7 linked regions of the Coturnix japonica genome follow. The protein of the gene in region 2 interacts with the protein of the main gene of each other region in a pairwise test. Links are inferred from orthologs where the notes say so. Each region holds a gene or a part of one and is shown on either strand. Other genes may lie near its edges.

Region 1 (4,049 bases), on a different chromosome or scaffold from region 2:
CAGTTCCTTTCATGTTACAGTACACATTGCAAATAGACGAGAGAACTGTGCAGTGTAAGTGCACTGCATATACCAAAGCATACATACATAACAGTGCTAATAGAAAAAACTTCAGATCTACGCAGTGGAAGCATATAATTCACATACTGGAAGTACCTACATCTTATTAGACATTCAAGTTTTTGTCAAGACACCACAGCATACTTGTAAAACTTCCTTACTAAAATACTAGCTGGTTATTCCTCTCTTCAAACACATATGTAATCACAAGAGAGTTTGTAAACCTGTTTTTCTACATGGCATATATGTGGTCTTTTTGCACACTTAAAAGGCTTGGAAAATCAATTTACTTCTCAAAACAATAGCTGTTTCCATGAGCTTTCATAAAACAGAAAAGTTGCACAAGTCAACTTCATATTTGGGTATTCACACAGGTAGCAAGACCATGCTTTCTAAACTGCCCCATTACAACAGTACTCAGGCAGCACTTCACCATGTGGTAAGCATACTGCTAAACAAGAAACAGAGCAACAGAAAGTAAAATACAAATGACAACAACAGCCTTACTCTTAGCAAAGATATCAACAGGTGATCCATCAGGCAAGAGCCACGGCCAGCCTTTGAACTGCCAAGCAGGACCCTGTACAAACACTGCTACCACACGATCCCTGTGAACATAATAGATGGATGTTGAGAAATACATTTTCTTAATCACGAAACCTATCTTAACATAGTTTGTTGGTTCTGTTTCTTTTTAAAGCAACAGCAATCAAGTCCATGTAACAATTGCATCTTCCGTACAACCACTCTTTCTCTATTACAAAGTAAGTGAAAAAGAAAAGTTACATGAATTACCTTTCAGCTCTGCTCTCTGCAGATTCATTTATCTCAATAGTGTTTATTTCTGGCCATTATTCTTTGGTTTTTCAAAGTTCTCTAACAGTTCAGAGATAATCCTCTATGAATAACAGTGTAAACTGACTGAGATGTAGCAATTTAAAAGCCATCATTTTGCATACTGTTAACTTCTATACTAAAATCTTATTACAAGAGACAGTGCTGAATTCCTTCTTCCAGTTAAATAGTCAGTCATATGTTGTGAGGCTATGTAACCATTAACTGCTGTTTGTGAAAATAAATTTGTTGTTAAGATGAAGCTTTTATATTAATTACATTTTCTAAGAAGCCTTTCAGAATGCACATCCTGCCACATATGGTCTGCTTTCTTGAACACTTGCATTATCCAAGCATGGTTCCTATCTACTGTAACAAATTACTGCATATCTAACCCAATTCTCAACTTTAGTTTACTGAATCACAAATTGCAAAGAATAAACAAGAGTTGTGTGTGTGCTTGACTTTTTGGTGGTGGGTTTCCTTCTTTTTAAGGGGAAGGAGGGGGTATGAACTTGGAGACAATCCTAAAGCTTAACATTTAAGAGCACGTTGCAGCTTTTGTAATGGGTAGCTGAAAAGTCACAGCAACATTTCCACACATCCAGATACTAATATTTGATGGTACCTTGGATAAACTAAAAAAAAAAAAAAACCAAACACTTCCAAAAGCAGGGCACTTGATCTCTTTGGTCAGAAGTATTTTAAGGTTTGAGCATTAAACATCGTGAATGCTATCTGATATCAGAATTTCAAAACCACTGGCTGCTGATTAAGTGTTCTCTGCATCAAGAACTTGAATTCAGAACAGAACCTCTTGAATAAATAATCCTCCCCATTAAAATCTACTTTGGAGGTTCAAAAAACCAATCAGCAAAGATGTCCTGCACACCTAATATCCTTAAGCCCACGAGGAAGTAGCAGAAATGTTTACTATTTCATTGCATCACAGATATACAATAAATACAACATATGTTATAAATGTGTTTCATTCAAAGGGAAACACATTTTTGTACTATCAAAGAATGGGCTTATGAACAAAATCTTTCTGCAGCTTTTTTTTTTTTTTAAACAGGAAAAGTTATTTCTGATTCCCTTTCCGCAGCTGAGGTTCTCCCTTCAGAACTCAGCTCCCATCGTGTAATTCAGTTCAATCTATGTGATTCACTACTGAACCCATGGTTCATTTCTTTTGACTGCTGGAAAAGAAAAATTACAGTATCAGATGCTGAAGATGTCTGCAAAAATGCAGTTTCCCTATAGACTCTCAAGTCAGAAAGAAGATGAGAAAGGATTTTTGCCTTGCATCATACTTCAATGACTTGCATGCTACAGTATCAGAAACTGGAAAAGTCATATCAACATTTCTACTTGAATTTCTGGAATATTTCAGACAAACTGAACATAATTGTGCTGCTCATAACATTAAAATGTAAAACGCTATTTCAGTTGCATATCATTTAACCTGGATACGAGAATCCCTTAGAATCAACAGACAAATCCATTCTTCTAATCCCATCTTTATTTTTTATGCAACTTAATATAATTTTATTGGTTCCTTTCAAGTTCTGCACTCTCCCAATGAAGAAGTTTAGTAAAGAGGAAATCTATCTTACCAGTCTTGAGGCATTAGTTTCAGAGGTTGGTCTACTACTCGGTAGGGTACAGTCACACTGACTGTAGTTCCCCCAGGTTGCATCTGGTCCTTCCTTCTCTGTATTAGAGTTTCATTCTCTCGTTGACAGCCTTGTTTCTTCTTTTCATCTGATGGTACAAACCTTGGGGAATAAAGAAACTGTCAGTAGACAAAAGTACTTCAACAGAACAGGGAACATAACAACTTGAGCAGATCCTTGTATTATTGCAGTCACTGAAGCCACCTCACTTTCACTATGCTACACCTCCACGACTCCATTTGGTACATCAAGATGAAGTTTCATAAGCACTTACAATAAAACCAGTTGTACTCAAAGGTCTTCTACCCCTCAAAACTACAACCATCATATGTTGATGACATCTCTTGCCTACCTAACCCAATACATTAACAGATGAAAAGCCAAATCACAGCCTGCTGAATGACATTAACCAATTCTTTTCAGGTATCAAAGACTACATAGGGAAGCTCATGCATTAAGAAAATGATTACTTGCTAGAGCACATTTTGTAGCTCTTGTCCTCAGGGAATTCAAACATACACATCACAATTATGCTTTCCACCGAATGCTGTGATTTTGGATCAAAAACATTCAGGGGACAGTTTTCTGGTGAGTTTTTCCTTCTCTTTTTTAAATTATTACTTATTAATTTTATGACAGTGATTTCACACTATTAGATGATTCATCTGATGTATGATACTACAATTACGATTTCTTTTCTTCCCTTTTATTTTAAATAGCTTCTTTGACAGATCAATTATGTTTGCAAAATAAGGACAATGTGATCCTTATGTCTCCATCTCTGTAAAAAAAAAAACAAGTGCTTCAGATTCAACCCTTGATTTTTCTACCTTCATTTAAAGAGTCTCCTCTATATAACAGTAATAAAACAAAATACACACAGCAATTCCCAAAATTGTGAGATTAACGTAAGGCTCTTGATGAATCTCAGTGGAATTGTAACAAGGAAGGGTAAAATATCTTGCACTTCAAAGAAGTGCAACTACATGACAGCAAAGTTTGCTGATGTGACCCAGTATCACCTTCCAGGCCAGCAAAGGACTAAGGAGAGCATGAGCTCAGAACTATCTTCTCTCCCCTAATGTTCTATTCAGAACCCTCAGTTGCACTCCTAATATTGTTTGCTTCTGACATTTTGTTTGCGAACTTCTGACTAAAAGAAGCAGCATATTTAACTGTAAAAGGTATCAGGAGTATTGGTGCTATATTTTAAACACACAGTACTATATTGTCGACATTTCTCTTCATTATAGAACAGATGGTGCATACTAAAAGATTACTGCATTTAAGGGTACGCTGTTTGAACCATTTCTAAAGGTATTCTCTTCGATCCATTCCAACTTCAGTTCTAAAAACAACTTGAATAAGCTTAAACATTAGGTAGACTGCATTTCAAATTACTAGGAAAAGAGAGAAAGGAAGTCAACTAAAAGGAATATTCATTATTCACTTGAAAATTCTTCCTTATGCTAACGTAAG
Region 2 (4,483 bases):
TAGAGAAGATGGATTTAATGAGAGTAATGAGCTGGAAAACTGCAGAGGGGAACGAATGGAACTGCCTCCATTGTTTTTCTGGAGGACAGACATGTGTGCTCTCAAGGAATGACACATTTTAGGGGCTCCAAGGAAAGTCAGGAACTCCCTTGCTTCTTTCACGTACAGGTTACTTGGCCTCTGTTTGTCCAAGCTCTCATAAACTTGGAACATCGCATGGACATCTCAAAAACACGGCCTGCATTTGTTCTGATTGGAACATTCTTTTCACTTAACACTTCAAGATGCAAAAGTCAATGAGACGACCAGAAGGATGCCTTCCTTCTGCCTCCACAGTGAACAGTTTTGAAGTAAGTAATGAAATAAGGTTTGTTTATAATAAATATATATGAAATAATGAAGAGCTCACAGGAGTCCTCCTGTCAGCACAGTTAGCACCTGAACACACTTCCATTGCTCAGCAGACTCCTTCCTGCCCTTCCTCCCCCAGGAGTGAGGGAAGACACTCAAGCCTGTAAATGCAGTACTTGAAATACCCGACTTCCTGCCTAAGCACATTTAGAACTGTGGTACTTGCCAGACTGTACATCACCTGTGCAGGTTTCATCACCTGTCATAAAATGGGGCGGCTGGAATAACTAAAGGCTTGCTCAGGGCAGGCATGAGCAGAAACTCGCCCTTCAGGAGCACAGCACTGAAGTGAATAAAACAACACAGACCAGGAGAAATACACATGAATAAAGCACTACTCCTCCCTAACACAGCGTCTCTCAGCAGTTAACTTGGTTTACTGCCTCACCCCAAACTCTGTTTGCTCCTTTCTGCCTTCCAGCTCGGCTGTCTGAGGGACGTGCACTGGACATGGGTGACATATTTGCATTTTTTGACAGAAAACAGGAGGAAACAAGCACTTACAAGCGATGGAAACGCATGTTAACAAACAGCCCCGTGTTAATAAAAACAGCAGACATGCCAGAACAAGGCTCCATCTGAATTCACAGTGTAAAACATAAGTTAAGCATGCAGAGGGGACAGCGAGTCAGTGAGAGGGACACGGAGCACTGCCTCACCTTCCTTCTGTCCAATGAGGGTATGGCTACCCCATTGGAGCGGTTAAGGTCTGACACCAGCACCTTCAGAATGTTCTGAATCTAAAGGAGGCGAAAGAGAAGGGGAAAAGAGAAACGGCTCAGAAAAGGACAGAGAGAAAAACGTCCATCAAAGGCAGCCAAAGAAACGGGCATCGCCCAGCCCCCGAGGAGAGGCAGCTCGGGGTGCATCCAGGGTTGCGTTACAGCTCTGAACGCTCCAGCACTGCTCCAGCACACACCCTGACTCACAGGCTGCTAACAGGGGCTCCTCAGCCGCTCACATTACACTGTTTAACCCTCCCCCAGCTGCAGTTGTGCTGTTTGGGAAACCAAAGCTGGAGGCAGAGGGGATACGTGGGAGGAAGGGGGGGACGCTCACGTTCTCTGGAGACTGTCGGCCGTCGTTTGTGGGAGTCTCAGGCCGACTTCCTTCTTTACTCTTTCGTTTCTTCTTGGCTCCCGCAGTCGCTCCAGGGCTGTTCTTCTGCTGATACTCCTTCAGCTGCGGGGAAAGAAAAGATTAATGTGAAGTCCAAATGGAAGATGTCCTCTGTGAAGGGAATGGCAACAAGAAAATGACAACATAACCAGTGGGTAAGGAGTCAGCTGAGCTGTAAGGACAAGAGAAACCGGCCTTAAAGATGGATATACGTTAAAAATAGTTCAAAGGCTCCAAAAGGGAGAATGAGAGTGATGGGTTTGTGACAGACCGAGAGCTGTCAGTGCTGTCCAACTAAGGAAGTGCCCAGGAAACAACTTGATGCTGCAAGAAGCAACGTTTGTAAATCTGTAACCAACAGCAACGAGGGAAAAAGAACGATAACATGGGATGCAAACTGGAAAAGTGGAGTCTGATAATAAGATGGAACAAGAATGTTGAAAGAGCTTTAGGAGAACGACAGCCCTGCAGGTAACACACTGATACAGGCACAGAATCACAGAATGACCCGGGTTGGAAGGGACCTCAAGGATCATGTAGTTCCAACCCCCTGCCTGGCAGGGCCACCAAACATACACATTTACTAGATCAGGTTGCCCAGGGCCCCGTCCAACCTGGCCTTGAACACCTCCAAGGACGGGGCATCCACAACCTCCCTGGGCAGCCTGTTCCAGGGCCTCACCACTCTCCTAGTGAAGAACTTCCCCCTAAACTGCCAGCACTGCGGGGATGAGCACACTGCGATGGATGCTCAATTGGAGGCCGTTGTGCCCAGGAGAAGCTCAGAGCAGCACAAATGGCCGCAGCTCGGGGCTGTGAGCGCCCATGGAACGCGGGGCTGAGCTTAAACGTCAAGGTGAAAAGCACCGGAACGAAAAGGATCCTCGGCAGGATTTCAAAATGGAGCCCGAGCTGCTCCGGGGCACTTTCCCATTCGTTTGACTTTGACACGGGAGGGCATCGCGATGGGACGGAGCGGGCCGAGCTGTGAGAAGGTAAAAAGGGAAGAGAAAGGGGAAAAGAAAGGAGGGAAAAAGGAGAAGAAAAGAGGGAGATGGAGAGGAAACCCGAACGGGAAAGAGCGGCACACACAGAACGCAGCAGTGCAGCAACACAGGCCCGGCCCCACCGGGGCGACAAGGAGCTGCGGGACCGGGCCGGGCCTCACCGCAACGCTACGGGCACGGCACAACACGGCACAACACGGCCCCACATAGCACAACACGGCCCCACACAGCACAACACGGCCCCACACAGCACAACACGGCCCCACACAGCACAACACGGCCCCACATAGCACAACACGGCCCCACACAGCACAACACGGCCCCACATAGCACAGCACGGCCCCACACAGCACAACACGGCCCAGCACAACCCCCCGCCCTCACCTTCTTCTTGGCCGCCGCCAACTTGCTCTGCCTGCTGCCGTCCGCCATGTCCGCCCCGCTCCCGGGCCACGTCAGCCGCCGGGTGGAGCGGCGCTGTGCTCGGGCAGAGCTCCGCCCCGACACCCGCCCCGACACCCGCCCCACCCCGCGGCCTGGGCTCGGCCGGGCCCCTCCGCCCGGTCTGGGCCGTGAATGGCGGCCGGTCCCGCCCCGCTCAGTGCCCGCCCACGGCGGATGATCGCAGCCCCGCGTTCCGGTTCCCATCGTGCCGTGCTGCCGGTGCAGGCCGCGGCCCTGGCGGAGCAGAGCGGTCCCGGTTCGGGGCGCAACGCGCCGCCCCCGCAGCGCAGGTAGGAGCGGAACGGGTCGGTTCTGTTCGGTTCGGTTCTATGTGCTGACTCGGGGCTCCCCGCGCTGTTTCAGGGCTCTCGGCGGTTCCCGGCGGAGCGGTGGTGCCGGTTTCAGATCCCCGGTGAGCCGCCCATCCCGTCCCATCCCGTCCCGTTCCCCCGGCTCCTCTCGGTGCCGTTCAATAACCGCCATGACGCGCCGTGTCCCCGCAGCGCCCGGCCCCATCCCGCACAACGGGCGGAGCATCGTGCGATAGTATCGAAGAACTGAAAGAGAAGGAGCGAGCTCTGGACCGGGAGATCGCGGAGCTGCTGTCCGAGTACGGCCCCGTTACAGCCCCGTTACGGCCCCGTTATTGTCCCGGTACAGCCCCGGTACCGCGGCCATCCTAAGGGTTATGGGATCCATGCACGGCAGCAGGGAGCTCCTTCCCCGTTGTTTCCCCAGTGCTGTGTTGGTCAGGCTCTGAGCTCCCCTGCTGATGTACATTGGGAAGTAACGGGTGTGTTTCTATAGCTGATGGCAGCACACGTTGTGCTAACAGAGCTGCTGATGTATATAAGCTGAGATCTCAAGCTGAGGCCGCTGCCCAGCTGCCTGGATGAGCGTTTCCCTTGGTCTGTGTGAGGCCATGGACACTTGGTTTGAATGAGGTGGTGGGGGTTAATCATAGAGACATGAAGGCTGATAAAGAGCTCTGATCCCCACCCTGTGCCCACTGCCACGTCCCTCTATTCCACGTCCCTCTATTCCACGTCCCTCTATTCCACGTCCCTCTATTCCACGTCCCTCTATTCCACGTCCCTCTATTCCACGTCCCTCTATTCCACATCCCTCTATTCCACGTCCCTCTGTTCCACGTCCCCATGGCTCTAGAACACCTGCAGTGATAGGGGCTCCTCCATCCCTGTGCTGTACAATGCCCCACCACTCTGAGAAAGGCGTTTTTCCTGCTATCCAACCCAAAATCATTGCTCTAAACAATGATGGGTTTGACCAGGCTGGCTCTGCACACCTCAGATATTGCTTTGTTCCGCAGTGGTTTTGTTGTGTGGCTTTGTTACAGAGGGTACAATGTGGAGGAATTGGAGAAGCACATCTCTCTGCTCCATGAGTATAATGAAATTAAAGATGCTGGGCAGATGCTGCTGGGCAAACTGGGTAAGAAAACTATTGAAGAAGCTCTTGGTGAAGCAAATCTTGTTATATAA
Region 3 (4,651 bases), on a different chromosome or scaffold from region 2:
AGGCTGAGGGAGTTGGGTTTGTTTAGCCTGGAGAAGAGAAGGTTGCAGGGTGACCTCATTGCAGCCTTTCAATACCTGAAGGGAACTTACACTCAGGAGGGGAGTAAACTCTTCGAAAGGGCTGACAATAGCAGGACACGGGGAAATGGTTTTAAGTTAAAAGAGGGAAGATTTAGGTTGGATGTTAGGGGGAAGTTCTTCACTAGGAGAGTGGTTAGGCCCTGGAACAGGCTGCCCAGGGAGGTTGTGGATGCCCCATCCTTGGAGGTGTTCAAGGCCAGGTTGGACGGGGCCCTGGGCAACCTGATCTAGTAAAGGTGTATGTTTGGTGGCCCTGCCAGGCAGGGGGGTTGGAACTACATGATCCTTGAGGTCCCTTCCAACCCGGGTCATTCTGTGATTCTGTGATAATCAGAGCTACCAGTTCAACTGTCTTTGACTGAGTTTACAGTAGCAATAACACGGTGTTTTTGACAAGAAACAACTGCACAACATGAATTGTCTCTTCAGTACTAGCTATGCCAGAATTCTAAAAGACTCATAGGAGATCTGAATGAAAGCAAAAGCAACTTCCTGCTACTGCCATATTTCATTTTCTTCAAAAATGATCACTGCATTGGTTTTAATTGGCTTCCTGTAGCACAGAATCATAGAATTACCCAGGTTGGAAAAGACCTTGAAGATCATCAAGTCCAACTCCAGCCTAACCATAGTACCCTAACTCTAAAAACCCTACACTAAATCATATCCCTGAGCACCACATCCAAACGGCTCTTAAACACAACCAGGGATGGCGATTCAACCACCTCCCTGGGGAGCCTATTCCAGTACATAACTACCCTTTCTGTAAAGAAGTTCTTCCTAATATCCAACCTAAACTTGCCCTGGCGCAACTTGAGGCCATTTCCCCTTGTCCTGTCACTTGTCACTAGAGCAACTCTGAATAAAAACCGAAGAAACTAAAAAAAACACACCAAAACCAAATAAACCACAAACCCAACAACAAAACAAACAAAAGATAAATTTCTGACATGTTTTCTTTCCCATATCTCCCTTCTCTATCTTACTATACCCATAACTGGCTCTCAAGAAGCTGAAACAGAGACAGGAGTGACACACATCAATTCTGCATTTCTCATTTCATGCAACTGAATTGCAGCACGGACTGCTGCACTATAGAAAGTTCATTCTAAAAATTTAATCAGCATACAATCAATATAGCAAAGCAGTTGTTTGCTGTCTTCCCTACCACTTCAGCGATCACAGCTTTAGAAATGCAGCACAATTGATCACCTGTTCTGAGGCGCCATCACTCTGAACTCGGCATTACTATTCTGCATTCTCCTGGGAAGATAAACTTGCTTCTTCACCTGAAGCTGCCCAGGTGTTCTCCTGTCCTTTGGGTTAATGAACTGTCACTCACATAAACAGTCAAGAAAAAACAACTGGATTTTCACTTATCTCAAACCTAACATTTCCAAAATGGTAGTTAAAACTGGGATACCTCACTTAACATATATTTGTACTACAGCTTCTACTGCACCAGCCTAAAAAATGCCTGCAGAGTTCAAAAACAGACTTAAAAAAAAATGGAAAAAGACCTCTAAAAATGTAGTAATTGCAACCAGTATATTTAGTAACCTCACATGTAACACATCTGCCATGTTTAATTACACTCTACCTACAACATGGCTCATGAAGTACAATTATGGAAGTATCCCTGCAAGAGTATCTAAGATGATGCCTGCGTCATCCAAGGTATGTACTAGAGGAGGCATTTACTCAGGTATGAGGAAAACAACAAGGAAGATGTATGATGCATAGGCACAATAGCTAACTACGTTAGTTACCTCCCCCTGACAACAGCTGGAATGGAAACACGCTACCTACATCCACCCTGTGCCAAGGGCACAGAATCACAGAATGACCCGGGTTGGAAGGGACCTCAAGGATCATGTAGTTCCAACCCCCCTGCCTGGCAGGGCCATCAAACATACACATTTACTAGATCAGGTTGCCCAGGGCCCCGTCCAACCTGGTCTTGAACACCTCCAAGGACGGGGCAAGGAATATGGCACATTGGGTAAGAAGCATCAGACAGCAGTTTCAATCAGTGTACGGTTATGCCCGCAGCAATAGTACGCGGGGTTATTTGCTACGTGGCACTGACAACCATCACACCACAAGTTTCTACGAAGGAAAATAAGAGAAGGGATGAGACCGACTCAACACACAGCACCAGCGGTCCGAAAAATAAAAATCGCATACATCGAAAAAGAGACAAAGCTTTCCGCTTCCCTCCGGCAGCACGCTGTGACACCGTAACAGGCCTCCCAGCATCTGCAGCCGGGCCCTCACGGAAGGCACAGCACAGCACAGCGGCCTGCGGGCGGGGACAGCCGCTCTCCAGCCCGCCGGATGCCGCAGGCAACGCCGGAGAGACGGCGGCGGGCCCCGAGGCCCCGAGGCCGCGCGGCGGGCGGAGGCCCCGGGCGGGGCCGGGCGCAGGGGCGGGGAGCCGCCTCCCCGCTCGCAGCCACCACGTCGGCGACGCCAGCACTGCGGAAATGGGGACGGGGAGCCGGGCCCCGCGCTCGCTCCGCCCGCCCCCGGCTCCGTCCGCTTACCCGTGTCCCCGATGATGATGTACTTGAAGAGATACGCGTAGGCCATGGCCGCCCGCTGCCGCCTCTCGCTCGCTCCTTCGTGACGTGCGCGCTCTTCCCCCCCGCCCCCGCTGGCCGGGATCGCGCTGCGGAGAGTTCGATACGGTTATAACGGCCGCTCCCTCCGACCTCAGCCCCGCCGCCTCCCGCCCCTATCGGCCTCTCTCCGTCTCGCTCCTCTCCCGAGGCGCCCGGGAAGGACGCGGCGGCGTTCGGAAGCGCGGGGCGAGAACAATAACAGGCGCCGAGCGGCCCGGAGCCTCCGGCAACGTCACGCACCAACCTCCGAGCCCGGCCCCGCCCCCGACCCGGATGTGCTGAGGTAGCCGCGGCGCCTCACGACGGCGTGAAGGGCGGAGCTCGGCGGTGCGCACCGCCCCCTCCGCTCTGTAGTAATCTGGAACCCTAATGTGTAACTCCACACTGGTTTTCCTTATATACCGTGTTTGAGTTCTGGATTGAGAAAGGTTCTTTTGTCTTTCCTCATCAAGCTGTAGGCAGTCAGCCGGCAAGGCATCCCTAATTGTGAACAGCTTTTACAGGCTCGGGGTTACTGAGGCCCAATGAGTTGAAATAAACTTCAAGGTGTTCATAATTCAGCGCTGCTCTATGGAGCAATCTGTGTACCCAGGACTTTGGCCCCTGAGCTGGCACATTGGCTTGGCACCTGGGCTGGTTCCACGCACATCAGGTGCTGAGGGAAGGGCTGTTGTCTGTAGATAAGGCTGATGAAACTTGGGTTGGTAAATTGGTGTGAATTGGTGGAACTGTTGAAGAGCCATTTTCTTCTCATAGACTCGCAGATCGGCCTTCCTGGCTGTACCAGTCTGGTAGCTTTTAACTTTATAAAGACTTTAACTTGTGATGAGTCAGGTCAGGAAGTTGGACAGCACTGATTTCCGACGCTTCTATGAGCTGTGTGACTAACTTACTCTTAAAAACCTTCAATAAAGCTGATTGCTCAGTGTCCCAAATGCTGTCTCCATATTGAGTGATACTGATTTCCCACACAAAGAAGTAGTAGTAGTTGGTAGAAGTGCCGCTCTGCTACACAGGGGCTCGAATCCTGGGGGTTGGACTCGATGATCTCTAAGGTCCCTTCCAACCTGCACGAGACTGTGATACTGTGATACAATTAAGCTTTTTTTCTTCTAGTCTTCCCTTTACATACAAATTATATCTACTTCACTGCATGAAAAACGTGTTCCTTTGCCAGACTTGTTTCTTGCTGTTTATTTCCTCCTCTGTACTTATGTTCTTTTTCCAATACTATCAGCAATGTAGAGTCCCAAAGAGGCATTCTCAGTCATCGATAACACCAGCCTCCTCACCTCAAAACAAAGTGTTATCTCCTGTCTGATTCCTCTCTGAATGTAGTTTGGTTTTATTGCAGCATCATATAAATTTAATTTTTCATCCTGAATCTCTTCAATCCAGTTACTACACAAATATAGCTACATATTTGATATCTTCTTATGAAACACTACTTTTCCTTTCACTTAATTTTAGTAGTTTTGGTCACTCTCTTACTTTGTCACACATTCTATGAAAATTAGTCTCTGCTTTCATGTATTTTGTGTCTAAAGGGTCTGTTTTCTTTCCCAATAATTTTCATGGTAGAGGCGTTAGCTGAAGGAAAAGTTGCAGCTGGGATCATTTATTGCATCCAGTACAGAATTCAGACTGGAACAAGTATTTCTAAGTGCTTGCTTGACCTCTGTAATAACTTCAGTTGGTGTTCATGCTCTTCTCACTGGTTTGTATGGCAGATAAGATGCCATCTCATCTGGTGTAACAAGGGCTGCTGCTGATAGAGCTGGTGCAGCTGTGTCTGGTGCAGACCCTCTCTTGGACCCTCCCCTTTTAAAACCGCCTGCTCAGTCGGGGAACCAGACTGGGTAAGCATTAATTTTTCACTGTAAGCTTTCAGTCAGACCCATTCTTGGTCCCAACAACAGCCATACATGCTGTAGTGCATTGGCAAC
Region 4 (2,848 bases), on a different chromosome or scaffold from region 2:
GGCCGTGCTGCTGCCCGCACGGCACCTGAGGACCGCGCTGCGGCGCGGCGGTGCTGAGCGAAGGGAGAGGAACGCGCAGGAGAGCGGCGGTGATGCCTTGTACGAACGGTGCCGGCGGGTGGCCCTGGAACAGGGGATGGGAGCCCCGCAACAACCCGAGCCCCGCTGAGCCCAGCGGGTGGGCTGCACCGTGCGTGGGGAGGAGCTGCGCTGCGGGGCGGAGCTGCTCAATGTCGGGTCCTTGAGAGAAAGGATGGCACCGAGAGTGGCTGCTGGCGTGACTGCGTGGGGCAGGAGAGGGGTGGAGGAGGCTCAGCTGCCACCCCCAGGAGCTGCGGCCGCCATCAAAGCAAAGGGAAAGGAGCGGGGACGGGGAAAAGCGACCGCCCCCCGTCCCCATGAGGATGCTGCGGCCGTGGGAGCCCCGGGCAGGACGGTGCCAGGACCCCAACCCCAGGTTCCGGCCCTGCAGCAGGGGGTGGTGGTGGAGGGAGCCAGGTCCCCCCGAGCTCTAGAGGTGGGAAGCACAGTGCTGTGCCTTGGGAGGGTCAGTGCCTGCATGTGGCACAAGGCAAATAAAGGGCAGCGTGACACGGTGCATGGTGCTGGGGTTCTGCATTCCCCACGGCCCCCACCCCGCAATAAGCACAGTGCAGCTGGGGCAGGCGGGATGCTTTATTTTGTTGCTTACACTATGTCCAAGCCCGAGGCACAGTGGTAAGGGCAGGAAAGAAGCAAACTCCCATCTGCAGGATGCCCGCAGCAGTGTTGTGCCCCAGGGGGGGAGGGGGCCACATCCTCACTTGCAGCACCGCCCCTGGCCCCCCAGAGCCCCCAGGCCCACTCACCTGCCCTCGGACTGAGCGTCCCACAGCTCTGACACACACAAGGGGTTCCCTCACCACCACCCCCTCCCCTGTGCCCCCTCTGCAGCCCCAGGAGGAGCAGGGCAGGCACGCAGCAGGGGTGCAGGGGTGATTCACTGCAATAAATAAGGGAGATGGATGGCTCACAGCAGGGACGTGGCACGGGAAAGCACACAGCAAGCGCGCTACGGCGAGGAGGGAGGAGGGCACAGCCTCAGCGCCCCATGGTACAGCTGTAACCATCCAACTCCCGGGGGCTGCCCCCTTCCTTTGGGGAGGTGCTGCAGGGAGGGCTGGTGGGGCTCATCCTGCGGCAGGGGTAGCCCTGGTCTGCACTCTCCCGCCGTCGGCCCATGGCTTGGTCAATGGTTTCCAGGCGGAGCGCAGGCAGCAGGCCCAGATTCCTGGGGTCAGCCCTGGCCAGAGGGTTGTCAACAGCAGCACGCCGGACACTGCATGGCTGCACAGTCTGGTAGAAGGAGCCCGGGCTGCCCTCCTGGCTGTTGACCACCTGCCCCGATTCCTTGGCTTTGGATCCACGGCGTCCCAGCTCCAACTGGGGCAGGTGGATGGCAGGGATGTCCCCGGTGAGGCCACGGCGGCTCTGGGGCGAGGGGCTCCTGCTGGTGCCCCGATCACGGCTCGATGGGCGCAGGATGAGACCCTGGAACTTGGCCAGGCTGGGACTGCGGCTCCGGTGCCGCTTCATCTTGCCCGGGCTGGGGCTGCGGGATTTGGGGGCCAGCAGGACAAGTGTGCTGTCATCCTCCTCCTCTGAGCTGCTGCCCGAGCTGTCCGTAGGGCTGCTGCCCTCCTCGGATCTAGGCAGGGAGATCTGCACCACGCATCATCAGCACTGGGCCCTGACCCACACAGGGGGCTGTGGGGCACTACAGCAGGACACCCTGCCCTGCTGAAACCTCCCTCCCCCCACCCTTCACCTCGAGGCACTGCTGACCTGGAAGGGCTCTGTCACACCCACGATGCTGCTGGAGGTGTTGCTGTAGTAGCCGAGGATGTATTCCCCCTTCCCTTTGGGCAGCGCTTCCTCTGAGAACATCACCTGCAGCAGATGGGCACCAGGCTGACCACAGGGCTGCCCCCCCAGCCACCCCCATACATGGGCCTGGAGCCTCCCTCCATGCCACCTAAACACTGCTGCTGCCTCACTCCATGGCATACACGGCACTGACTCACCTGTGCACACAGCTGCTTCTCTACACAGCGCTCTCCATCATCGCTCCTGGCCCAAACATAGGACACATAGTCTTTGGGATGCCGAAAACCCACCTGTAGAAGAAGGGAGGTGAGCTGGTGCTTTTCATCTTCTCTCAGCCCCAGCAAAAGATTCGGGTCATTTGGAGCCCACGGAGTGGAAGAAAGAGAAGTGCTGAATTCCAGAATGGGAGAGCCCACACCCAGGCCATGGAACAGCATCGGTGGGAGGGGGCAGCTACAGAGGGGATCCCATCACACTGCTAATGACCCCAGCCCCTACCCGGTAGAGGCCAATCCAGTCCCAGGAGCTCCGGTGGAAGCCAGCAGCCATCCTGTACTTGACAACTGCTTGTTCAGGCCTGATCCACTCATCAGCCACATAGATCTCCACCAGAGGGTTGTCTGCCTTGTAAGGAAACTGACAGGGACGTGCAGATGGTGAATAAGAGCAGATAGCCACGTGCCAGAGTGCTGCCCCAAGCACTTGTTTAGCACAAGCCCCAAGAGCAGCACCCCCACCGCCCCCAGCCATGGTGGTCACATAGCAGACCTGCCTCACCAAGGGCACCCAGCAGCCCCAGCAGGTGCTCACCTGCACGGCAAAGATGGCAGCTACCGGCTTGTGGTCGCTGACCGTGTACTCCATGTGGCTGCAGTAGCAGAGCTGGCTCACCGACAGCACACCCCTGCTGGGCCGGCGCCCGCCCAGCCCAGAGCTGGGAGATTTGATCTTCCAAAGGATGCGGTCAGTCCAGGCGGGTTTT
Region 5 (4,623 bases), on a different chromosome or scaffold from region 2:
TTCTGCTTGGATCCTGATTTACCATGTGTGATGAGCTCTGTTTTCTGTGTCCAGTTGCTGATAGATCCCTGCCAGATCCTTTTTACTAGCTGGTTAAAAAGGAGAACTAAGGGACTACTTGGGAGAGAAGTCCCCTGTCGTAAGTGCAGTAGGTCAGACTGCTGGGGTTTTACTTTCCTCAGAACTGATGAATTTGGAGGCACGGTGCTTGGGGCAGGAGGCAGGCTGCAAAGCTTATTGTGCTCAAGTAGGGCCCTACTTCTGCTTTTTGTCTGAGTGCTGCTGTCGATGGCTGTCATTGGCCTTGGTGCAGGAAGAAATTGAAATCGGCAGGAAAAAAAAATGTCTTGAAGGCTAACGAGCCCAAGACAGTGCCGGGATTTAATGAGGGCTGCTTCTGTGATGCTGAGGTAATTCAGGCACCCTCCTGGAAGTTAATTACCGATGGTCTGCAATGCCTGAACCTTTGCCGTGTTGCTTCATTACAGAAGTTACAATGAATTTATTAAATCCTGCGGTGCGTCATCAGTCCTTGGGTGTCAGCTGGAGTGAAGGGCTCAGCACCTCAGGGCTGGGAGCAATCAAAGAGCTCATTATGGAAAGGAGTTATAATTCTGCTGTGCCCTTGCACTACAAGCCTTGAAACACATCACAGACCATATTCTGAGCCTCACACAATACAGTACTTGTTGGCTGTTTGCACTGGGCATTTATTTATGCTGGGCTTACTGATGTTCTATATTGGTGGTCAGTACGTCCCTCACGTGCTCTTACTCAGGTCAGCAATGCACAGCATGCCGTACCCTGTGCTGTGCTGCATGTTGCTGCTGTGTGTGGATGGTGTTCCGGGGCATTGTGGGAGCGCAGGCTGATTTTTCACATAGGGCTGAGCTGCTGTTCTCCTAATCTCTTACAGCAATCTTTCTTGGCATGCTGGGTAGGTCACAGTGAATAATGTGCTTTTCCGCTTGGCAGCCAGACTGGAAAGCTGGGGGAAGGGGAAGCAGAGGGAAAGTCAGGAGCTGCTCACATTTAGGGCAGCCTGCCTCTTTGTACCCTTCCCTGTAGCAAAGAGTTGATGAATCGCTTCCTTTTTCGGTGTTTCAGTAATACTCTGTGTTGTTCAGAGCTCATTTACAGCGCTGTAATGTTTTGAACACTCGCAGCCTTCGCTCTTCCTGTGATTGTCCAAGGGTTGGATGTTTTTGTCTCTGTCCCAACAGTTACTACTTGTTGGAAGTGCTGCAGCTATCTTTCTTAAGACCTTACATTACTTTGGTCTCATGACTGTATTTCTATTACTGAGTGTGATCTTTAAATAAAAGAAACGTGAAGCTCAGGTCCCTGTACCGTTAAACCCTGGAGATTTTCTTCAGGTGCATATAAAGCTAGGGCTGTATTTAATTAAAGGAGTTGGGGGGGGGGAGGAATAGTTCAAGTCCAGTGTTCTGGATAGCAGACCCCTGACCCTTGCACAGCAACTTGGGGTGGGCTGAGCAGCAAACTGCTGCCCCATGAGGTGCACAGCCCCGAGCCCAGGCTCCTCCTGCAGTGCCTGGGCCTGATTCATATTGGCCCTCATTGTTATCTCTCCTGTTCACATGTTTTTTTTTTTTCCTCTTTGTTAGCCTGCTTTCCTTCCTTGTTTTTAAAGAATAGCTTATCTGTGTGCCCCAGAAGGGTGTGACTTGGGGAGATCACAGCAAGCTGAAGTTCAGCAGCTGACTGCAGGAACACACGCTGAGGTTTTCACACACGGCGAGCACCCGGAGATATATGAGATGTGTGCAATTGGGAGAGCGACTGCACTCCTGCTTCAGCCCCCCAGCACCCTGCTCAAGGACAGTCACTGCACCACAACAGCGCCTCAGCGCATGTGCTGTGTGCACCTGGTGACCAGCTCTGGGTCACATTGCTGGGCCAGAACGTGCATCTGAGCTCTGATATGACGTGAGCAAACCAGAGCTGGTCCCATCACACCGTGGCACGCTTTCCTGCCTCGTGTGCGTGTGTGCAACCCTGTCACCTCATTGGGTTGTTGCAAAGCTTCTGAGTGATCAAGTTCTTTTTCTACCTCAGAGTGCAGTGCCTGTGCTGCTGCCACTCCGAACACTGCAGGAGGAAACTGGTTTTCGGTTTGGTTTTGTTTGTTGAAGAGGAGCTTTATGATGGGTGACAGAGCAGAGCCTCTGATGACTGTGCATCTTCTGGCCAACTCAGGATACTCGGCGTTCCTGCAGCAAGCTCTGGATCGTCTCATGGATTGGATCTGCCCAGATGTTCCACTTTTCTTTGTGTCCGAGCGAGCTGCTCCACTGAAATACTACGAGAGGTATCGCAGGAGGAACTGCGGCTTTCCTGGGATATCTGTCCTCCTTTTTCTGCATGAGGACCTGGGAGAAGAGCGGATCCTCCAGATCCAGGATCTCCTCCAGCGCCCACCCTGGCACCACCAGTGTGTCCCTACCACCTGGGCACGAAGCCCTCCCCACACACCAGCTCTGCAGGACTTTTATGGCTTGGATGACCAGATGCCGGTGTGGGGCATCCGGCGGGTGGGCTGCAGCCCCGAAATCCTGCGTGTGACCCTCTACTTCAGCTTTGATAACTACGACGATGCAGTGGGGCTGTACGAGATGATCCTACGGAAAGAAGCAACCACACGGAAAAGCAATTTCTGTGTCTTCATGCTCTATGCCACTAAAGCTATTGCGGTCCAGCTCTGCCTGAAGCAGCTGCCCATTGGGATGGCTGCTGAGCCCAAGGAGTCGTCGCTTTTGCAGTTCAAGGTGCAAGAAATGGGGCAGCTGGTGCCTCTCCTGCCCAATCCATGCGTTCCTATCAGCAGCACCAGGTGGCAAACACAGGACTACGAAGGAAATAAAATTCTGCTTCAGGTATGTGTGTGCACGGTGCTTGCAGACCAGATGCCTTTTGGGTTTTTCTATTCCAACAAAGAGCAGGACTGATTCAAAATGGAAATGAAGGTTTTGCTTGTCCGTATTTCGTTTTTAATTCATGAACTCAGCAACCAACTTCCAGTGCTACGATGTCATTGATAAATGTGAGCACGGATCCTTAGAATGCTTCCATATTGTTAGCACCCGAAGTAGAAGGTATTAGTTCTTTTTCGAGCCACTGAATTCACCTTTTTCCCTTTCCAGCCTGTTCTCTTTCTGATGCAACCTTATAAATGCTCCAGAAAGCAGAGTTTTAGCCCCGTACCATCCCAAACCAGGTGTTTTGCAAGTACAGCGCTGATGCAACATCACCCATGGTAGTTTTGTAATTGCAGTTGGGCAAAAGGGCTAAATAAATGCCATGGGAAAGCCGCCCCCTTTCTGTTGTGCTATGCAGCCCTGAGAGCATGCGAGCACAAATCAAACCAGGCTAAGATGGTGCTGAGGAGGTGGTGCTCACTGTGATTGTACGTGGGAGCAGGAGGGAAGTTCATCTGTGTGCTCTTTGCTTTGTAACAGCTCCTCACACCTCTGGCTTCCTTGGTTGCTATTTGGATATTTTTATTATTATTTGGATATTTAAATCATTTCAATGTATGTTCGATTTTCTTTATTTTCCTTTCTTGGTGAGGAAGTTCTTCTTTAAGGAAGTTCTCTCCACCTTTTCTCAACAGGTGCAGGACAGCTCCAAGCAGAGGGAAACAAGCTCTGTGCTTCCCAACCGGCGCAGTGCTGTTGCTGTGGATGGACTGCTGCACAGCCCTATTGCAGCCCCTCTCCCCACTCTGTGCAGCGCTGAGCAGGGAGGCCAGCAGGGCTGGGCCCTGAGGGGCAGGGTGACACCCGTGCCAGGCCATGCCCTCCCCATGCAGCAGCCCAATGGGAGCCTCTCTGGCTCTTCTCGGGGCACCACGATGCTCTCCCGCCATGTGCCCATGAGCAGCAGGCAGCAGAAGGGCTGGCCATGCCGGCCAGCAGCAGAAACCAACGTGGACACGGGGCTGGCTGTGGGCAGAACTGTGGGCTGTCACTGCTCACTGCAGCACAACCTTGTGCAGCCATGGGTGCTGAGTACGGCCTGCACCGCCTCGCACTGTGCACAGCCACCATCTGCTGTGGCCAACAGGAGGAAAGCAGCGGGACACGGGGCTCCAGGCTCCCGTGTGCAAACACGGAGAGACAGCCCTGGGACCAGGCCTGAGGAGGAAGAGGAGTTCTTCATATGACTGGAAACAAGCACATGGCAGGCTCCTCATTTGAGTGCTATCAACGTGATTTTGTCTGCAAGCACAGCAGCTGGGCTGTGTGTGGGGCGATGGAAACCTTGAGTGGGTCTGAAACAACAGAAGATGTGAGGCTGTGGGATCAAAGGACCTGCTGAAGAGCAAACAGGGCAGGAGAAAGAAATGAAGCCATGCAGGATGCAAGGATGTTGAAATGATGTGAGCTGCTGCTGGTGGGGTGCAGGCAGCACGTGATTTGTGATCTGCTTATTTCACTGGATGCTTAACAAAGAAACTCAAACTTTACACCCGCGTTTTCCTATGATCTATAAAGGTAGTGCTTTCCAGAGAGGTTTGGTGAGCTGGGAGGGCAGTGTAGCAGAGCACAGTGACTGTGCTGCAGCAGTGGACGAGGAGAACGGGTGTGGAAGCCTGGGGTC
Region 6 (2,781 bases), on a different chromosome or scaffold from region 2:
CTGCTTTTTGTTGGGTTTTGTTTCGTTCCGTTTTGTTTGTTAACCCGTGGTACTCAGCTGTAACGTCGAGATGTCAACTACCTGTTTACTTTCCCTTCGGTCAATGCGGGTTCCTTAGGTCGACCGTGCCTGCACGGAGCCCCGGGCACTAACCTGGGGGTGCTCTGGGGGTGCACATTAACCCTCCCATCGGACATGTCTGCTCACCCATGAATAACCCCGGAGCATGGCCACGTAGTGAATGCTCTGTAATAAACCGTAGGTCGCGCCTTCTCCTATCCGTGCGCTCTCTATCTCTGCGTTCTTTGTTGTGTACTTTGGGTTTTCTACCAGGTCCAGTCCTTTATGGCTGCCAAGACTTATCTCAGGCCTCGAGCTGTTAGCTCTTGCTCTCTGTAGGGCTGTTCTCCCAGGTCCTGTTGATTTGTCGTATTACTGGCTTTCTGACAAACTGTCTCCTGCCGTCTTTATTTGCAGGCTAATGGAAGTGCTAAGAAAGCTGGTGGGGACTATAAGGCTACTTCCCCCACCCTCCCTGCTTCTAAGATCCCTGCCTTTTCTCCCACTTCTGGGAAAAGCAGCTCTGCCCCCGCTCCCAGCAGTGACGGCCCTAACCCCCTTACCCCATCCGCAAAGCCCTCCGTGCCCCCCTCTGGCCTCCTCGGGCCCCAGGCAGGCCGCATGGCGTACTCGGCCTCCCTGATCCCCTCTGTCGCTAATGGCTCCTCCAAGTTCCAGAGCCCACCCTACGCCGCGAAGGGCCACCAGCTCTCCTTCTCGCTGCAGACTCAGAACGGCCGCCCGCCCCCTCCTTCCTCCTCCACCTCCCCCCCATCCTCCACCTCTCCCACCTCACTGAACCAAGGTGTGAAGAGCATCAGGACCATCCACACTCCCAGCTTCACCAGCTACAAGGCGCAGAATGGAAATGCCGGCAAGTCCGCCTCCCCCGCGGCCAAGGAGCCGGCCTAGAGGCTGCGTGCTGGATTGCCACTCCTTCCCTGCAGCCACTGTTCTAACCAGGGAGCATAACCATTTTGCTGTATCGCTGGAGGCTTAATACTAACCATGTGCTAAATACTGAGTTACTACACTAGAGTAGAGTGAAGCTTTTTTGTAAACCTGTTGCTGTTGTCATGATAGAAGAGCGTTTTCCCTCTGTAGGCAGCACCTCATGGTGGTGGTGTGTGGGTGTGAGCCGGGCGCTGAGCATGGCTACACGTGTGGCTGGCGTTTAGTAAGAGGTTTTGTATAAAGCTATTTTTCATTACGGGGACTAGACATGAACAGAGATAGATATACTGCAGTGTGATTATACACAACTGTAAAACTGAAATATTCCTCTTTTATTTTGGTGTTATTTAGCTTTGTTACAGATTTCTATTTTTGTCAACCAATGCCACGGTTCGTTTCGAGATCTTTTTGCCAAAATATTTTGATATTATCCTATAATGTACATTTGAAAGCAGTATGCTGGACAGTAAACCTCTGCACCACAGACAGACAGAACAAGACTGGTCTCAGTGCACAGGAGGCAACTCAACCTATTGCACTGCCGTTCAGAGTCTATTTAAGAATTCACCAAGCAGAGAAAAAAACCCACAAATAATAGTTTGACACACACAGGGAGTTGCCGATGATTATTTTCTTTCTTTCTGAGCTAAATTCACCCTCCTCCTTCAGCTTTCTTTTACTGGGACCTGGTAACCCATCGATGTACTGCATTGTGGATTTTAAAATGTACACTTCTGTACTGTTCTGTATACTGGCAAACTTTTTGTACATACCTATAAATAGATATAAATAAATAAATGCTGTATGTGGCTGGGCACTTGGCGTAGTTTGACCACACCAAAGTTAATTTTTATGCATGCTTTCAAAATATCTATGGGGCAGGGCTGAAACAGGTGGGTCACGGTCACACAGGAGGAAAAGCAGCAAGTTTGCAGAGCTCATGGTTTTGTAAATAAATTTATTGTATAACAAACACCCTGATGTAATATACAGAACTATGATAAGCAAAGATCTTTACAGAAATAAAGGGCTGCATGCTTATGTTTTCTACTTTGTCACTAATATTTTTTCTGGTGGTCACAAGCAGGGCTGTTTGTTTGCCTTAAAGAAAGAGGGAAACTACCAGGAAAAAAACAAAAACAAAAACAAAAACAAAAAAAAAACCGCTACCCTGATTTTCCCCAGGTTAAAGCCATAAGTAAGGATCAGTTTCAAAATGGAGTCTTTTTAATTAACTCAGACAAGAGTGAATTGCTTGGCTGCCGGGTTGGTTAAAAAGGCAGCAAGAAAAAAGGGGAGCACCAGAGTCTTGGGACTGATGAAATGAGGGATGGTCTGACCTCCCTGCTCTGCTTTGTTCCTTACAGGGGAGCAAGAGTTTTCTTGAAACTCATTTCAAGGCTGAGCCCTCAGAGGGTGCATCCCTTGCAGTGGAAACAACTCAGTATGCAAACATCAACTCGTACCTCACTGACAGGAACAGACTCGTGTTCTGGCAGTGCTTGTGCTGGTCCCCTGTGAAGGGGACATTTCTGCAGGCTGAGAGCCCAGCACTGTCCAGGAGCTGCAAAGCCAAATCGAAGCGCAGCACAACTCACAGCACTCTGAGTGTGGTGCTGGGCTCCAGCCATCTCCCAGCCTCTGCAGGACAGCTGTGGGCCCAAATCCATCTGACTCCCTGCTGAGTGGCAGCTCTCCCCACCTGCTTCAAAACTCACCAGTAAGGTGACACAATTAAGGCAGCAGCTTCTTAGACTTATGACTGCA
Region 7 (4,575 bases), on a different chromosome or scaffold from region 2:
GTCACAATCCACGTCTTAGAAAAAAGCATTACCTTGTCCTTTGATTGTCCTTGTCGAGCAATTGCGTCGTATTTTATTTTTCCTTCTGCATCCACTTGAACAGCCAAAGCATTGGACATTTTCTTCTTTCGGCCCATATCCAATGGATATTGGGCCACGTGAATTTCTGGAAAAGCACCTCCATCTCCAAAATCCTACACACACACAAAAAGGTAGAGAATGACTGAAAGACAAAAACATGGTATAACTACAGAATTGTATAAAGGCTTAGGTTGGGAGGGACCCTACGGATCATCAAGTTCCAACCCACAGGCAGGGCCCACCACCCTCCAGATCAGGTACTAGACCAGGTCATAACATTTGCATGGGTGGAAATGGAACAAAAGAGTGGACTGATTTTAACATGAAACACTGCTAGAAATGCTCTAGCAGCATTACTGTTCTGGCTTGTAAGAGAACAGCTGACTACAGCTTACACTTGTGAAATGGAAATACAAAGACATCCTGCAGGAAACTCTCTACAATTATTCCTTTCACAGAGAAACTTCTTTTATCACTGGCTGGATGTGCAGGCACTACAGCATGACAGGCGGTAAATGATCAAGTATTTAATTCACATGCAGGTTATTAATTACAACTTCTAGAATTTATCTGCAGCAATAAAGCAACCGCTGAAATACACAAAAATTAACCACTAGAGATTTTCATCACAAAACTGCTATTCTTGTAATTTTAGTTATCCTACCATAATTAGGTGAAGAAATTTATAAAGCTTTCCAGCCCTCTCAAGCCTGCAGCTCACAGCTTTACAATGGTACAAATGCCAAGATATCGATTTCCTTATTTTGACACAACTTGAAAACAGGACAAGCAACCAATAGCTTCGTGTTCCTAACAGTTTACTTTTCCTCTTGTTCAATTTCTTGCTTTAAAACTATTTAAGGAGCAGAATAAATGGAAGACCTCTTTAAGCAGACCATTGTGACTCAGTACTGAAGATGCAAACAGAACTGGCACACAATCGCTAAACCAATTTCAGGCTATGGTTTCAAAACCCCAGGGGAAGCATTTTCTCTAATCAACACTACTGTGCCCTTTCACCATGCTGCAATGGCTTTGATTTTGCCCAACAGCAAACCAGGTGACTTGGGTAGCTTGATCCCCACGTATTCACCATGAGACCAAACAGTTAACACCACTACAACAGACAGCATGGGCTGAGACTGGAATCATCGGGCAGAACACTTCTTTCCAGAGCAGCACATATTCATGCTTGCCTCAAGTGCACACTGAAATTCAACTTCGGTTGTTTAAAGTCTTCCATTGGATGCCCCGCATCCAGTTCAACAGTTAGATACAGAATCAGTGCTGAAATATAATGCAGAACTAAATTCAGCCATCTCTCAGGTTTTTCTACATGACCAAATCTATTAAGAATAGATGCTGTTTTTCAATTATGAGTAGATAAGCAGATGAAGCCTATACTTGCAAGCAATTACTATTCTTTGGTTTTGTCTATGAGGCAAAAAGGGAATCTTCTAGAAGTCTTTGAGATGTGCTGCATTTTCTGGCCCAGTGATACTGGAAACCAATAGAACTAAGTTAAGTCAGGTTCCCCCCCCCCCACAGCATTTAGAACAAGCACTCGAACAGTAGCTTTAGTAATGAGCACTGTAAGGAGAAAGCTGAACTATAAATTTTAATACCACATCCTTTATTAAATGCTGAAATTCCATAAAAGTATTTTACTTTAGAGAACCACTGGAACTACTGCTTTAAGTCACCTTATCTAGCACTCCCACATCTAACAAGTTTCTATCACTTAACACCCCCCAAGAGCAGTTACCTTTTGCTACCTTAAGAACACAGTACACATGAGAAGTATTCTCTTCTCTGCTATACACCCATCTACTTATTTCACCTCTAATCCAGATATGTATTTAACAAATAATGACAGAGGGTTGGTATGGGTGTCATTCTCAGAGGGTCACTACATTCAGACCTTAAACAGAAAGGACCACAGTCGTATTCCCACGTTACCATGACAAGAAACTTGGAAATTCTGCATGTAAACCTGCACGATTCTCTGTGATTATCTCAAGAAACTTCATAGTTTGACTCTACTCTGGAAAGACACACTTTACCCACTAACACAGATGTACTAATATAATATGGTGAGTTTAAACACCTACCTCTAACGTCCGCGGTATCCATCCTTTCCGGTAGCCGTATGGGGGAGGCTCCCTTCGTGATGAGACCAGAGCAGTCTGCCTGGATCTCTGCGCCCTCGCTCTTTCTTCTAGCTCGAGCTGGTCTTGGGACAACTGGGTTGGAGCTGGCAAAAAACTGCACGTCCCCAGACAGGCACCAAAAAGACACATAAAAAAACAGCTCTGAAAAAGGCGAATTCCCACAGACGAACCCGTGAGTGGTTCTCCCCAGCCGGACACCCCCGGTCTAAAGCCACACACTCCAACTCCCCCGTCCGGACCCGGCGCACTGCACACCGCCACCCCCGCGCTGCCGGGCGGCGTTCACGTCCCCGCTCGGTACAGCCGGGCAGGCCGCGGAGCCGCGCTCTCGGAGCAGCAGCTCGTAACAAAGACATCCCTCACGGGAAGGAAAAGCCGGAAAGCGACCAGGTATCCCACCAGCACCAATCCTTCCCCTCACAAAACCCGCGTTAGCTCCCCGCAGCACGCAGCGGTGCGGAGGCCCCATCGCGCTCTAGGCCGCACAAAGCGAGCAGCGCAGGCAGCTCCCGCAGGCCCGGCCCTCAGCACACCGCACCCCGGGCTGCTCAGCGACCGTGGGCCCGCACCCAGGAGGGGCCGCTCGCCGGGCCGAGCACCCAGCGCTTCCCCAGACACCAACAGCGACGAGGACGGAGCGGGGGGACAGAGGGACGCACCTGGTGAGCGCCATCTTGCCGCTGCCGACTCGGAGTTAGGCCGCGGGATGGGGGGGGGCACAGGGAAGGACGAGCGCCTCGATGCGCGTGCGCCGCAGCGGGCAGCTGGGAGTTGTAGGCACAGCGTCACAGCGATGGGCGATGGCCTTGGTGACTGAGATGTCACCTTGTGTCCAGGGCAACTGGGAGCTCTGCAGACAAAGCCGAGGATACGAGACTTTGACATGTATCGCTTATCAATAATTGTCACGAGCAGAGCTCATCTGCCATCTCTCCTACCGTTTCCTGTCAGTCATTTCTCAGCAGACTTGGTGTTGTGTGACAGCGCTGCTCCCGGTCAGGAGCCCTGTTCCTATCTGGAGCTGAGGAATGACTTGTTCTCCCTCCTGCAGTTCCTACTTCTTCCTGTGCTGTGATGTATCATCTACTGCTGTGTGGGAAACACACAGCTTTGGGGTCTGTTTTGCAACACAACCTGTAAGGCAAACACAAACTCAAACAGACCATGATCTGGAAGACTGTGTCCAGTTCTGGGCTCCCCAGTACAAAAAAGACAGGGATCTCTCGGAAAGAGTCCAGCGGAGGGCCACAAAGATGGTGAAGGGCCTGGAGCATCTCCCCTATGAGGAGAGACTAAGCAAACTGTTTAGCCTTGAGAAAAGAAGACTGAGAGGGGACTTGATCCAGGTCTATAAATACCTGAGGTGTGGGAGGCAAAGCGGCGAGGCCAGACTCTTTTCAGCAGTGTGTGGAAACAGGACAAGGAGAAACGGCCAGAAACTGGAGCATAGGAAGTTACACATGGATGGGCACAAGAACTTTATAGTGCAGGTGACGGAGCACTGGAACAGGCTGCCCAGGGAGGTGGTGGAGTCTCCTTCTCTGGAGATATTCAAGACCCGCCTGAATACCTACTTGTGTGACGTGGTGTAGGGAACCTGCTTTGGCAGGGGGGTTGGACTTGATGATCTCTGGAGGTTTCTTCCAGCCCCTACGATTCTGTGATGCTGTGATTCTGTGAAGTGGGAGCGGAGGTTAAGTACAGAATGTGTTGTCCTGGAAAACTCCCAGCTCTGTGAGCTGATCATTTCCATGTATCTTCATGTATCCCCTAGTTTGTTCTGGGCTTTGTGTGCACCAGACTTAGTAATAATTCAGATATACCAGCTCTGGTGAATTCTTCTTTGATAAGAAGAAACAATAAGCAAGGGATGGATCTGAGATCCTTAAACCCATTTTTTTTCCCAAGGATATGTATCCCGATATGTATCCTTAGGAAAGAAAGATTCATTCATTTTTCTTTTACCATTATCTTTTTTTGCTTAGCATTCCTGGGCAGGAATGCTATCAGATCTCCACGTGCATCAATTTCTACAAGTTGACCAAAATAATCTGGATGGTGAGTAAAGTGTTGAGGCACTTCATCCTTGGCTTTGCTGTCAGTGGGGACATTTTTAGTTTCATGTGAATACCACAGCTGGTTTTGAGAACACTTCCTTTAATGTGTATTTCTGGTGCATTCCAAGGAGTCTTTTGGGGTAGATTTAGGCTATTAAATCCTCTCCATCTTTTTTTTTTTTTTTTTTAATCTACTTCAGCACTTTCCACATTTGCAAATGCAGAATTAAATGGCTCATGAAATATCTTGTAACAAATGAAGATGA

What was found.
Region 1: the proteins of GOLGA2 (region 2) and CDC73 interact in binary tests that used the Homo sapiens proteins (3 or more experiments, as listed by UniProt). The two-hybrid records come from large-scale screens. The link is inferred for Coturnix japonica from reciprocal best matches to the Homo sapiens genes GOLGA2 and CDC73.
Region 3: the proteins of GOLGA2 (region 2) and RAB2A interact in binary tests that used the Homo sapiens proteins (3 or more experiments, as listed by UniProt). The link is inferred for Coturnix japonica from reciprocal best matches to the Homo sapiens genes GOLGA2 and RAB2A.
Region 4: the proteins of GOLGA2 (region 2) and INPP5J interact in binary tests that used the Homo sapiens proteins (3 or more experiments, as listed by UniProt). The two-hybrid records come from large-scale screens. The link is inferred for Coturnix japonica from reciprocal best matches to the Homo sapiens genes GOLGA2 and INPP5J.
Region 5: the proteins of GOLGA2 (region 2) and FAM124B interact in binary tests that used the Homo sapiens proteins (3 or more experiments, as listed by UniProt). The two-hybrid records come from large-scale screens. The link is inferred for Coturnix japonica from reciprocal best matches to the Homo sapiens genes GOLGA2 and FAM124B.
Region 6: the proteins of GOLGA2 (region 2) and KIAA1217 interact in binary tests that used the Homo sapiens proteins (3 or more experiments, as listed by UniProt). The two-hybrid records come from large-scale screens. The link is inferred for Coturnix japonica from reciprocal best matches to the Homo sapiens genes GOLGA2 and KIAA1217.
Region 7: the proteins of GOLGA2 (region 2) and SNW1 interact in binary tests that used the Homo sapiens proteins (3 or more experiments, as listed by UniProt). The two-hybrid records come from large-scale screens. The link is inferred for Coturnix japonica from reciprocal best matches to the Homo sapiens genes GOLGA2 and SNW1.

The regions. Positions count from the first base shown.
Region 1 is NC_029523.1:3,292,378-3,296,426, forward strand, and holds part of CDC73 (parafibromin), read right to left. Parts: intron 2,673-4,049; coding exon 2,511-2,672; intron 669-2,510; coding exon 568-668; intron 1-567.
Region 2 is NC_029532.1:3,735,604-3,740,086, reverse strand, and holds the start of GOLGA2 (golgin subfamily A member 2), read right to left. Parts: upstream 3,275-4,483; 5' UTR 3,186-3,274; coding exon 2,922-3,185; intron 1,594-2,921; coding exon 1,471-1,593; intron 1,152-1,470; coding exon 1,071-1,151; intron 1-1,070. Other genes in the region: DNA repair protein SWI5 homolog, read left to right, coding at 3,463-3,474, 3,529-3,635, 4,339-4,433. UniProt on the Homo sapiens protein: Peripheral membrane component of the cis-Golgi stack that acts as a membrane skeleton that maintains the structure of the Golgi apparatus, and as a vesicle thether that facilitates vesicle fusion to the Golgi membrane.
Region 3 is NC_029517.1:102,066,797-102,071,447, reverse strand, and holds the start of RAB2A (ras-related protein Rab-2A), read right to left. Parts: upstream 2,972-4,651; 5' UTR 2,674-2,971; coding exon 2,628-2,673; intron 1-2,627.
Region 4 is NC_029530.1:8,880,567-8,883,414, reverse strand, and holds the end of INPP5J (phosphatidylinositol 4,5-bisphosphate 5-phosphatase A), read right to left. Parts: coding exon 2,677-2,848; intron 2,503-2,676; coding exon 2,365-2,502; intron 2,157-2,364; coding exon 2,064-2,156; intron 1,930-2,063; coding exon 1,825-1,929; intron 1,702-1,824; coding exon 1,081-1,701; 3' UTR 658-1,080; downstream 1-657. Other genes in the region: PLA2G3 (group 3 secretory phospholipase A2), read left to right, coding at 1-169. UniProt on the Homo sapiens protein: Inositol 5-phosphatase, which converts inositol 1,4,5-trisphosphate to inositol 1,4-bisphosphate.
Region 5 is NC_029524.1:6,954,972-6,959,594, reverse strand, and holds the start of FAM124B (protein FAM124B), read left to right. Parts: upstream 1-1,472; 5' UTR 1,473-2,165; coding exon 2,166-2,897; intron 2,898-3,634; coding exon 3,635-4,186; 3' UTR 4,187-4,623.
Region 6 is NC_029517.1:15,320,015-15,322,795, reverse strand, and holds the end of KIAA1217 (sickle tail protein homolog), read left to right. Parts: exon of another isoform or gene 1-15; intron 16-477; coding exon 478-972; 3' UTR 973-2,064; downstream 2,065-2,781. UniProt on the Homo sapiens protein: Required for normal development of intervertebral disks.
Region 7 is NC_029520.1:35,702,804-35,707,378, forward strand, and holds the start of SNW1 (SNW domain-containing protein 1), read right to left. Parts: upstream 3,031-4,575; 5' UTR 2,926-3,030; coding exon 2,912-2,925; intron 2,347-2,911; coding exon 2,193-2,346; intron 195-2,192; coding exon 33-194; intron 1-32. UniProt on the Homo sapiens protein: Involved in pre-mRNA splicing as component of the spliceosome. As a component of the minor spliceosome, involved in the splicing of U12-type introns in pre-mRNAs.